3 linked regions of the Danio rerio genome follow. The protein of the gene in region 2 binds, or shares a complex with, the protein of the main gene of each other region. Links are inferred from orthologs where the notes say so. Each region holds a gene or a part of one and is shown on either strand. Other genes may lie near its edges.

Evidence for each region. The genes of interacting proteins can lie anywhere in the genome.
Region 1: the proteins of eif4a1a (region 2) and kank1a are in contact, whole or in part, in a crystal structure (PDB 7DDX), measured with the Mus musculus proteins. The link is inferred for Danio rerio from reciprocal best matches to the Homo sapiens genes EIF4A1 and KANK1. Residues at the interface, in NP_659207.1 of Mus musculus: Lys99, Val140, Arg141, Val144, Gln145, Lys146, Leu147, Gln148, Met149, Glu150, Ala151, Arg168, Arg169, Tyr170, Ser172; in NP_852069.4 of Mus musculus: Gly1168, Asn1169, Asn1171, His1175, Tyr1176, Val1178, Asn1201, Lys1202, Ala1203, Tyr1205, Met1209, Leu1210, Leu1213, Ala1214, Ala1215, Gln1240, Ala1241, Leu1248, Ser1251, His1252, Arg1254, Asp1273, Glu1274, His1285.
Region 3: the proteins of eif4a1a (region 2) and pdcd4b are in contact, whole or in part, in a crystal structure (PDB 2ZU6), measured with the Homo sapiens proteins. The link is inferred for Danio rerio from reciprocal best matches to the Homo sapiens genes EIF4A1 and PDCD4. Residues at the interface, in NP_001407.1 of Homo sapiens: Gln75, Thr109, Arg110, Glu111, Ile135, Gly137, Val140, Thr158, Gly160, Arg161, Asp164, Glu186, Leu188, Ser189, Arg190, Gly191, Phe192, Gln195, Ala214, Thr215, Met216, Pro217, Glu240, Leu241, Thr242, Asn280, Thr281, Arg282, Arg283, Thr329; in NP_055271.2 of Homo sapiens: Pro170, Gln173, Glu174, Glu177, His178, Glu183, Glu186, Met187, Asp190, Leu209, Glu210, Lys212, Glu249, Leu250, Leu252, Asp253, Thr254, Pro255, Arg256, Gly320, Gln321, Gln322, Ser323, Val324, Leu327, Glu348, Lys352, Glu355, Val356, Pro357.

Annotation. Positions count from the first base shown.
Region 1 is NC_133180.1:45,819,307-45,823,349, reverse strand, and holds part of kank1a (KN motif and ankyrin repeat domain-containing protein 1a), read right to left. Parts: intron 3,681-4,043; coding exon 3,461-3,680; intron 2,788-3,460; coding exon 2,645-2,787; intron 2,298-2,644; coding exon 2,097-2,297; intron 2,008-2,096; coding exon 1,909-2,007; intron 1-1,908.
Region 2 is NC_133182.1:26,543,455-26,546,516, reverse strand, and holds part of eif4a1a (eukaryotic translation initiation factor 4A1A), read left to right. Parts: coding exon 1-27; intron 28-152; coding exon 153-262; intron 263-1,011; coding exon 1,012-1,155; intron 1,156-1,221; exon of another isoform or gene 1,222-1,360; intron 1,361-1,443; coding exon 1,444-1,581; intron 1,582-2,437; coding exon 2,438-2,527; intron 2,528-2,924; coding exon 2,925-3,004; intron 3,005-3,062. UniProt on the Homo sapiens protein: ATP-dependent RNA helicase which is a subunit of the eIF4F complex involved in cap recognition and is required for mRNA binding to ribosome.
Region 3 is NC_133197.1:31,538,811-31,542,853, forward strand, and holds part of pdcd4b (programmed cell death protein 4b), read right to left. Parts: intron 2,267-4,043; coding exon 2,156-2,266; intron 2,076-2,155; coding exon 1,936-2,075; intron 1-1,935. UniProt on the Homo sapiens protein: Inhibits translation initiation and cap-dependent translation. May excert its function by hindering the interaction between EIF4A1 and EIF4G. Inhibits the helicase activity of EIF4A. Modulates the activation of JUN kinase.

The DNA.
Region 1 (4,043 bases), on a different chromosome or scaffold from region 2:
CAGTGGTTGTTAATCCTGGTCCTGGGAATTTCATGGCTTTTTAAAGGGTTAGTTCGCAAAAAAATGAAAATTACGTTATTATTAACGGTCCCACTTTATATTAGGTGCCTTTAACTAATATGGACTTAGACTGAAATTAATAATTTGTTACAATGTGTTTATTGTGTAAATACATGTTTTTACATTGTACTTATGATTGATAAAATACCGGCATGAATTTACATGTTTAATTAATTTCTGCAATTTCTTACATTTTTAATTACACTGTTGACATCCCTTACACCTTAACCCTATTGATAACAGCAAACCTGTTATTAACCCTACCCATACCCCACCAGAAGTGTTCTGCAATACATTATAAACACATAAAGTCCATTGTATTTAGTTTTTTATGCAAGTACATAGTAGTTAAGGCCCCCTAATATAAAACGCGACCTTAATTACTAATGTCATTCTAAACTGAGACCTTACCTTCATATTATAAGATATTTTAGATGAAATCTGAGAGCTCCTTCCTTCTCCCTAGAGAGCGCGGTTCTTGCTTAAAGTCCAGAAAAATACCCAAAAACATCCTCAAAAAACAGACCATATGCCTTTAGTGGTTTAAATAGAACTATACGTGAATCCTTGTGCACATAAAACAAAAATAATGACTTTATTTAACAGTTTTTTCTCCTTAGTATATTGTGTACGTTCACGAGTACTGTGCAGTGATACATTCACTCCTGAATGCCCATGCACAATTTTCCCTCTTTAAAAAAAAAAGCATGGATTAGAGGTAATGCATCAGCAGAACGACCAAACGTAACGAGTAAACGTGACACTATACTGACAACGAGGAGAAAACTGTTGAATAAAGTCATTAGTTCTGTTTGATGTGCACACAAAATTATTCCGGTGGCTTGACATTAGTCCAATTAAACAACAGTAGGTATTTGGACCGTCTTGAAAACGTTTGACCATACATTGCAAGATAGCATTTAGCCACTGGGTGGCAGTATAATTCTGCATATCTGACAGTACTGCATAGAGTGGATGAACGATGTCACCTTGTAGGCATGCTAGCATTAAACTGGTTACCTTGATAAAATCCCCATAAGATTTTCCCATTGGCTTCACAAGACTGCAAATAATAACCTCTGTGTTCAAACGCACAGGAAAGGAAAGGGGTAAGCGTGTGGCTAGGTAGCAAACAGTTTTGACATACAGTAGTAGTCTATTGAATTCGGTTGCATCAAAGGTCATAAATATTTATAAAAAACTTCAGAAATATTTAAACATCAATGCTCATAGCTACATTTTCTGGAGATAAGCTTTATTGGAGAACAAAATAAAGACTTTATTGGCATGTACGTGTATATAAACTTGATCACTCTACCAACAATAGCGGCGAGTGGAAAACCGCTACTGCTAATGTTATAAGTATTTGTCTTTACTTTGAGGAAGTTAGGGTCCCTACTATATGGAGGACTAGAGAGCTTTCAGATCTTACTTAATATATCTTCATTTGTGTTCTGAAGTTGAATGAATGTCTCAGGGGTTTGGAATGATATGAGGCTGAGTTATTAATAGCAGAATTTTTATTTTTGGGTTAATTAACCCCTTAAGCCCACTTGGGATTTATCTGTATGTAAGGGATCACATACAGTGAGTGTGATTCAGAATGCAATCATCAGAACAGCATGAACATACTGTAAACACACTGACTGATTTTTTTTTTAACCACACATACAGTAGATAGTTCTTGCATCGTACACACATGCTTTGAATCGTTTTGCCATTAATTAGTTTGTCACGAGGTAAACCAGACCATTGTTTCACAGCTGAAAATAAACAAGAATGAACAGAACTAACTGGTTTAAATGACTGCATTATGAATCGGCTGAATGTAAAAATACGATCACTCACTGGTGACTGAGCTTTGGAGAAGTTCATATGAGCGTACAGCAAGACTGCGATGTCCTTATGTCCTGCTTCCAGAGCAATAGACAATGCGTTGCTTTCGTCCTACACAACACAAGAATACAAGCATCTAGTATGTGAAATGAATCTGACATGTCATACATACAGACTTGGGAAGGGTTGTGGGGACTCACATTATCACTGAGAGTGGCATCACAGCCTGGCTGAGCCAGCAGCAGCTTCACTATCTCCACATGGCCGTGTTCACTGGCACACATGAGCGCGGTCGAGCCCTCGTCGTCCTGGATGTTGACATCCGCACCACAGGCTAGCAGAGCTTTCACCATGTCCATTCTGCCATGACTGACAGCCAGCATCAGCCCTGTCTGACCAGCCTGCATCAAAGAAAACAGTTTAGACACTGACCACTAAGTCAAATGTTAATAGGGTTTAGACTTATATATGTAAACATACCATTGTCAATTGTTTATTTGCCAACTCTGGACTTAATTCCAAAAAATACTGTACTATTTCAATCCAGACTGGATTAAGCATTAAACTTAATTGATTTTGTGCATATTTTGCTCAAAACTGTATTGAAATAATGCAGAATTTTGTAGAGTGTTATGTAAATTTGTGCAATAATTCATATAATTGATGATACACTTCTTCAAACATAAATACAACCTGCCCCAAGCATTTATTTAAATCAATGCTCAAACAATTTTAGTATCCCACTGACCTGGCTGGCCTTCGCATTGACATCTCCTTTACTAAACAGCTCATCGACCACCCTCATGTCCTTCGGAGCCTCTACGGCGGCGAGCGCTGCGAGCATGATGGGCGTATAGCCTGCTTTATTCTGCTGATTGACATTGCAGACATCTGTGATGAAACAGAGAGAGCAGGGGAATCAGAAACACCGCTGAGCCCACCATTGGAGTAATGCATTTGGAAGGAGGTCTTCTATTGTTTGAACTTCAGAGAAGGGACACGCAGGCTATTCAGAAGGAGAGTCATGGATTGTGGATGAAGAGAAGGAGCAAAGCGGGGCTTCACTGACTGGCAATGAGGCCAAAGATGGCCAGAGGAGAATGAGAATGGAAGCAGACAATTGAAACAATGAGGGCCGTTCGAAAAGAGTCAGATAGTAGAGGAGCACAAAGGCGATGGGATAATGGGCTTTTATTTGCAGGAGTCGAGGCACCTCATCATAGGGTATTCATAGAGCTCTTTGGTACTTTTTTGGAGAAGGAAAAGTGGAAAATCAAACAGAATGATTCTGTATGTGGACGGAGAATTAGCTATTAGCTTACATACAAATAGCACTGGTATTTAATTTACATTTAATAATGAAATAAAAAATGTAATCAAACTGAAAAAAGAGCTTGTGAATCAGAACTGAATCAAATCAGTATATTTGAATCCACAGTTCTGATTTATGACAGCAATATACTATAAAGTTTTACCATTCAGTCACGCTGCCTTCACACTTACCAAACATAAGCAGTTTTAAAAGAAAAATGCTGAAATAGAGACTCCCATATACAGTACTAACCAGCTTCCAGTAGCTTCTTGACAATGTGGAAGTTGGAATGGGACACGCTGTAATGGAGGGCGGTGTTGCCGTTGCCATCGGCCATGTTTACAATGTGCTGCAGCAGGGCAGGAGAGATGCTTCTGAACGCATTCAGATAGTCCTCCACCATCTCCGCCACAGCCGTCTTCTGACTGGATACTCGGAACCACTCATGCTGCACGGTGTTCACACACGGCCTCTGGAATCAGAAACAATTATACACCAAGATCAGTAGGAATATGTACAGGGGAGTTACAGTGATAGTGCTGTTTAACCCCAAAATCACAGGAAACATTTAAGAATCATAAAAAGACAAAGCAGAAATAAATCTATCTATCTATCTATACATACACACACACACACACACACACACACACACACACACACACACACACACACACACACACACACACACACACACACACACACACACACACACACACACACACACACACACACACACACACACACACACACACACACACATACATACATACATACATACATACATACATATATATGTATGCATGCATGTATGTATGTATGTATGTATGTATGTATG
Region 2 (3,062 bases):
TTGACATGCTCAACCGCAGATATCTCTGTAAGTACTTGATTTGGTTCATCTTGATTTCAAGTCTAATTCTAGAATTTGAGTTTTGTTCTTTTTTTTTAATTCTATTTAATTGGCTAATTTGCGTTTTTTTTTTTCTTTCACCTCTCCTCCAGCTCCTAAATATATAAAGATGTTTGCCCTGGATGAGGCAGATGAAATGTTAAGTCGTGGTTTCAAGGACCAAATCTATGAAATTTTTCAGAAGTTGGCCACAGACACTCAGGTAAACAAGTCTATATTATTTTGTGTGCATCCACGCCAAAGTTCCCTCACCTGCCAGCGCTCTGTGCTGTGATGGGTATCAAGTTCTTTGGTAGAGTGAAGTAACTGCTCTCCACTATGATTGGGCTCTTCAGTCCCTGTTCATAACTATTTAAGCAGCTGACATTAAATTTAAAAAAAAATATTTGTTTTACTTTTTACTTCATAAAGGAAATCCAACCTGAAGTTTCACACAGAATTGTAAGACATTTTAAGAATCGATTTGATCAAGTAGTTTTTACCAGATGTCGTATTGGGCATACGAGAATAACACATGGTTTTTTGCTCCAAGGTGAAAACCCTACTCGGTGTTTGTGCTGCAAAACTCCTCTTACTGTAAAACATATTTTACTGGACTGTCCTGCTTTTACTGATTCCAGAAAGACTTTTTATGAAATGAACTCTTTTAAGGACATTTTTGACAAAGTGAAACCAGAAAAGATTTTAGAATTTTTATCATGTATTAACACACATCTTAATTTGTTTTATTTTGTTTGTTGATTTTTAAATTGTATATTTATTGTTGAAAGATTCCTGCCATGAAGATAGCCTTGGTTGCTGACATGGCACTAAATAAAAAAAAATACATACATACTTATTAAAGGTTTGAATATGGCTGCTTTTTGCTTTGATCAGTCCAACTATTAATCTTTATGGTCTCAATTTATTTTGAGGCCTGAACCTAATAGAGGGTCTTACCTTTTTTCACAGGTGATTCTTCTGTCTGCCACCATGCCTCAGGAGGTGCTGGAGGTGACTACAAAGTTCATGAGGGATCCCGTTCGTATCCTAGTTAAGAAAGAAGAGCTGACCCTTGAGGGTATCCGGCAGTTCTACATTAATGTTGAGAAGGAGGTGAGTTGAGAGGAATGTGAGCTGTCATGTTTATGGTTTGCAGTGATTAGTGACAGTTATAAGGCTGTTTTGTGATGATCCCCATGCGTGTCAACTGATCCCAGACTCCCTGCAGTGCTCAATGTCTGATGAGCGTTTTGCTCAACAGTGCATTTTGAGCCTGTAGGACTCTGGGAACTTGATCTTAACTTTTAAATCTGAAAACGGCACTACTTAGTGGTTAATCTTAAATATAATTCAATTAAAAGAAAAGTATCCTTTTACAGAGCAGTTTTCTCTGTATTACAGGAGTGGAAGTTGGACACATTGTGTGACCTTTACGAAACCCTGACCATCACTCAGGCTGTAATCTTCATCAACACTCGCCGGAAGGTGGACTGGCTAACTGAGAAAATGCACGCAAGGGACTTTACCGTTTCTGCTCTGGTAAGTGAAAGGTTTTCTCGAATGAGGATTTTCAAAACCTGGTCAAACACTCAAGCAAACCCCTTCAGTCATTTTTAAAATGTACTTCCTGAATACACCAAAGTTCCCTCACCTGCCAGCGCTCTGTGCTGTGATGGGTATCAAGTTCTTTGGTAGAGTAAAGAAGCTGCTCTCCACAATGATTGGGCTCTTCAGTCCCTCTTCATAACTAATTAAGCAGATGACATTTTCATATCATGATTAGGCTTTTTACTTGAAATAGACTCTCTACACGTTATTGGGTGGGTCATTTATAACTGATGGTGTTGTATTTAATTTATTTGGATCATAGTTCGGTGAGACACCTCTTCCTTTAGTGGTTTAAACTGTCTTTTGGCCACTTTCCTGTTTTCTGAGGTTATGATCTATGGATGGGTTAGTGTATGAACTTTATTTTTTTTTTTTTAATCCTTTCAGTCAATGTTACAATGTAAGCTTGCAGCGTTGACCATATAAATATAAGCAAGCAGACGATGGGAAAAGATCCAGAGAGGGATCCTGTTTGTTGTTCTTTTGACATCTTAATTATACCAGTGCTGTAAGCTTTTTGAGTTAGACTGGTAAGAATGCGAGTTATCTACAATGGTTCAGCTCAACATTTTAAACCCTGTCGACCAGTGTATTTAGTGGTTGACTTAATGAATAGGATTTCTAAATTAATCTTGATGGCTGTAATCTGAGACCTCCGTTTCAAAACATAGCTGATATGGTCTTCCATCTGTTCACTGTCATCCGTTCAACTGTTTACATTTAATGACCATTTTCATGCTGCTCATAAATTCCTTTTTATGACTTTCCACTTTCTTTGACTTCATAGCATGGTGACATGGAGCAGAAGGAGAGAGATGTCATCATGAAAGAGTTTCGTTCCGGCTCCAGCCGAGTGCTTATCACCACTGATCTGCTGGTAAGCAAATCTACACACTAAGCTTTCACATCCAAAGATCCCTCTTCCACCAGTAATCAGTGCTGTGATGGAGATCATGTTCTTTGGGAGATTATTGAAACTGCTCCCACAGTGACGGGGTCTCAAAATCCCTTAACACTAATATAAGCAGTTGACATTCACACTTTTCAAGCACAATGGCTTTAATCTTTCAGAAAAGGTGTATACAATAATTAGTGCACCTACGTTCTCGATCTAAATCATTGGTCACTTTCATCTATACATTTGCTTTGAAATCATCTTCCACAAGGACTTTCCAAACAAGATTTATCACTCAAATGTATAGTTCTGTCTATAATGTGCTCGCCAGATCCTCAAGCAATCACAAAGGTCTGATTTTTGTATATTTTATCTTCAGGCAAGAGGCATTGATGTACAGCAGGTTTCCCTGGTCATTAACTATGACCTTCCAACCAACAGAGAGAACTATATCCATCGGTAAGTGCTTGGCTTTTATTTGCTTACCTTTTTTTTTTGTGTATGTGCTAACAGTGTT
Region 3 (4,043 bases), on a different chromosome or scaffold from region 2:
CAATGCCTGCCCTTCTTTAACTTATTTTCGTTTTGTCAGGTTCACAGTGCAAACAGCTCCCAGGTGGAATAACTTGAGTGAACATAAAACAAAGCTGAATAAAACTTTCGAGAGGGGTCTGGATGCAGACCTGGTGCAGTGCAATCTGGGCTGCACCCAATGCTTTTTAATGGGCTCACCTAACCCCAACCCTAACCCTACCCCTCACAGTGACGTCACTAGCTACATTTGAGTGCATTGTGTCTGACATTGCATCTCTGAGTGATGCGGTCTCAGGTTGCAACATAAAGGCTGCATTCAGATACTCTTGAAACTTTGCTTCAGCTGCACAGCACACAGCGAGCTCACATCACCCAGCATGCGTGTCGAACTACACTACCCACAATACACGCCGCTATGGACTACAACTCCCGTAAACAGCAGTCTTAAAGTGGCCACTTCCCCTCTCCTGCAACACTAGTGTGCAACTTAAGCAAAACTGATACTAAAGTTGTTTTGAACTTGGTTTTGTAGTTCGGACCTAAATAAATATTTGTTGCAGTTTTTGATCGTTTGAGTTTATTTGATTGACTAAATAAAAATCAGTTGATAATATTAGCGCATTTATTAGGTAAAATTGCTACTTTCTACTGTCATTCAATGTGTTTTGGTCATTAGCAATGCACTGTCACTTTAATTGAGCGTGAGCAGCATGGCAAAAATAGACCCAGCGACGAAACTGCTGCTTCAGCGACGCTTACGACTCACGCTGATGCGCTGCTGCTGTGTGAGGTATGAAAGATCTAATCTGTTAACATGGATGTCGAAAAAACACACTCTGCTCATGCTCTGCTCACGCGCCACTTACGCTTGCCATGTGAAACAGGCTTAACTCTAGTTAAACACACCTGATCAAACTACTGCAGTCCTTCAGGCTTGTTTGAAACTAACAGGGATGCATGTCGGAGCAGGGTTGGAACTAAACTGCAAGGCTGCGGCTCTCCAGGAACTGAGTTTGACAAGCCTGCCTCAAAGGGACTTCCTTAATACTCTGTTGTAGTTAATATTACCAAAAACAAACATTTTTATAAAATAAATAAAACCAACAGTATTATTGTAAATGTGCTACAAGTAATATACTATTATTATAATAACAACAACAACAACAACATGTTAATAATATTAACATAGCATTATTATCAAAAATATATTATTTACACTAATATAATCAGTTATATTTCTTAAAATGCTAATAAAATTAGAATATTAATTGTATACACTACAAAAACCAAATATATTAATAAAATTTTAATAATGATGACAATAGCGTAGTATCATTTTGCGATTATGTAGTAGTAATTTATATACTCATATACTATCAAATGAAAATTAATCTAATAGTATTAAGATAAACTGCAACCGTGTATTAAACTATTTAACGATAATAAAAATACATGTATTAACAAGCTGTTTATATATCAACATAACAAATGAATGCATTAATTTGACTTGCAGCTTAAGATGTATATTTTTTAATCATCATGTAGTTTATGTACTTAGTTTTCTAAAATACCATTTGTCTATATTAAAGTAATTTTTTTTAATAATATATCAGTTTTTATACATTGTAAATTCATTTATTATTGTTACTCTTATGAAGCATAATATACAAATCATTATATAAATGATGTAATAACAACACAACCACCTTTATATAATAGCCAGTCACTATGGACTTACAAGGCTCTACCTGATATTGCCTATTTTTATTCTGTGACAAACTCGCATTATGTAATGTGTGTGGTTTTTTTTATTTTTTATCTAATTTTATTGACATAGCCGGATTCCTAGAAAATATTTGGGGAAAAAAAATTTATTACTCAAAACCACTGTGCATGCAGAAAGAAAACATTGAATCTATTATACTTAAACAAACGAACAGGCTTTCTGACTCACCGACTAGGACAGAGGTCTCGCAGTTTCCTATCGATGACTCCAGCATTAAAGCTCTGCTCCACAAACCGCTCCAGGATCGAATAGGCACACGGCACGTCGATACTGATGTCCGGCATGTCCAGATACACCCGTTCAAAGCCCTGCAAGAGGATGGAGCTCAGATTACACATGCTCATCAAGCTGCAGTAACTCGATGTGAGCAGCAGCTGGCGCTTCATACCCGTCTCATCTGATCCACAGTAATGATGGTGGAGGAGCAGAGACACTTCAACAACTGCAGGAGCATCTGAAGCGTCCGCTCGCCTGTAGACTCCAGCACCATGATCACTGCCTGAGGTAAAAAAAAAAAACAAGCATCATTAATAAAAGAGCAAACCACTAATCAGCAGCCTCGTGTTCTTCCTTTCACACTGTATTCAATATTTTAAAACAATACAAGACACTACAAGCAAAAACTGCATTCATAAACAGATAAAGTCAATTATTCGGCCTCCTGTACATTTTTTTTCTTTTTTAAATATTTGCCAAATTATGTTTCTTAGAGCAAGGATGTTTTTCACAGTATTTTCTATAATATTTGTTCTTCTGGAGAAAGTCATTTGTTTCGTTTCAGCTTGAATGAAGGCATTCTTTAAAAAAAAAAAAAAAAAAAAAAAAAAAAAAAAAACATTTTAAGGTTACAATTATTAGCCCCTGAAGCAATATTTTGTTTTTCCGATTGTCTACAAAACAAACCATCATTATACAATCACTTATCTAATTAATCTAATTAACCTTGTTACGCCTTTAAATGTCACTTAAACGGTCACAAAATATGTTTTTTTATATGGTGACAGTTATATGTGTCCCATGCTCCTGAAAAAACACTATTAGGACACACGTTTAACAAAAAAATTTGAAAAATGGTTGTTTTTGCATTATTTCCAGAAAATTCGTTCTTTGTTTATTCGTTACGTTCTGTACAATGTGACATCTTTTTTAGCATTAATTCATAAAAAAAAGACTCGACTCAAACCAAACTTCATTAACATGCATGATAGCTTCGAAGAGCATTTTACCTGTTACAGTGTTCAGACATCAGAGAGACGCCATGTTGTGTTGCCAACCGTAATTAAATAAATGGAAGAAAATTTGTTTAGAAACATGGGTCGTCAGTGTTGCTTTTATAAATTTATTACAGTGGTCTGCTAACACACGACTGTCAAATGAATTATCGCGTTGAAAAAAAAGTTCGTACACATGGATGCATTGAAAAAATGCCGCCTTTTCTTCCGTTTATCAGCCAGTTTCTTGAACTTTCTCCTTTTTATGAGCTAAAACTTTGAGATCTTAAAAAGCTGTTCGGCATGTATTATTTTGGCTTATTTAAACAATTATAAACAACATAAAACAGAAATATTTTGATGTTATTTGGTATATGGTATGTTATTTTAAAATAATTTTCATCCAGTATTCAGATTTTTAAGGTATAAATGTATACAAATTATTCACTTGTTAAGTGTGATGTTCCGTGAAGCGACTTCCTGGTCCAGGCACTCTAACTGTATGGAGAGGCTCAACAAATGGTAATAATAAACGCTTACAAGGTGATGTAATACTTTCGGAAATCATGATCACAATGTGTGTGTGTATATATATATGCCTAATATTCCATGGCCAGAAAGTGGAATGGATTTTTTTTATTGTGTGTACACCATGACTTTATACAAAATTCACTTTATTGTGTGATATGCAACTAAAAAGTGGTCATAAATGAATATTATGAGTAGCAGCTTGGACTCGGAAACAGTATTTCATATGTCACGACCTAACAAGCGGATTGGGCTGAGTGATTAATCAAACTAGTGTTCATGTGCATCTTGTGAGTAAAGCCGACTCTGTGGCAAATGCTGCTTCATCTGAAAACAGAGCCACTGTTCACTGACAAGCTACGGAAAAGACTGTGAACAATTTAATTGGTGCGATCCTGAATTCGATTAGAATCATTTTGCAGAGAACTCTGTCATGACTATGTCACCCCTCAGTGAACTACAGCTCCGTGGCTTTGATCTGAAAGCACGTGAAAATACCACATTTAATAACATGTTTTTGCTCTTAACTCACCTAAC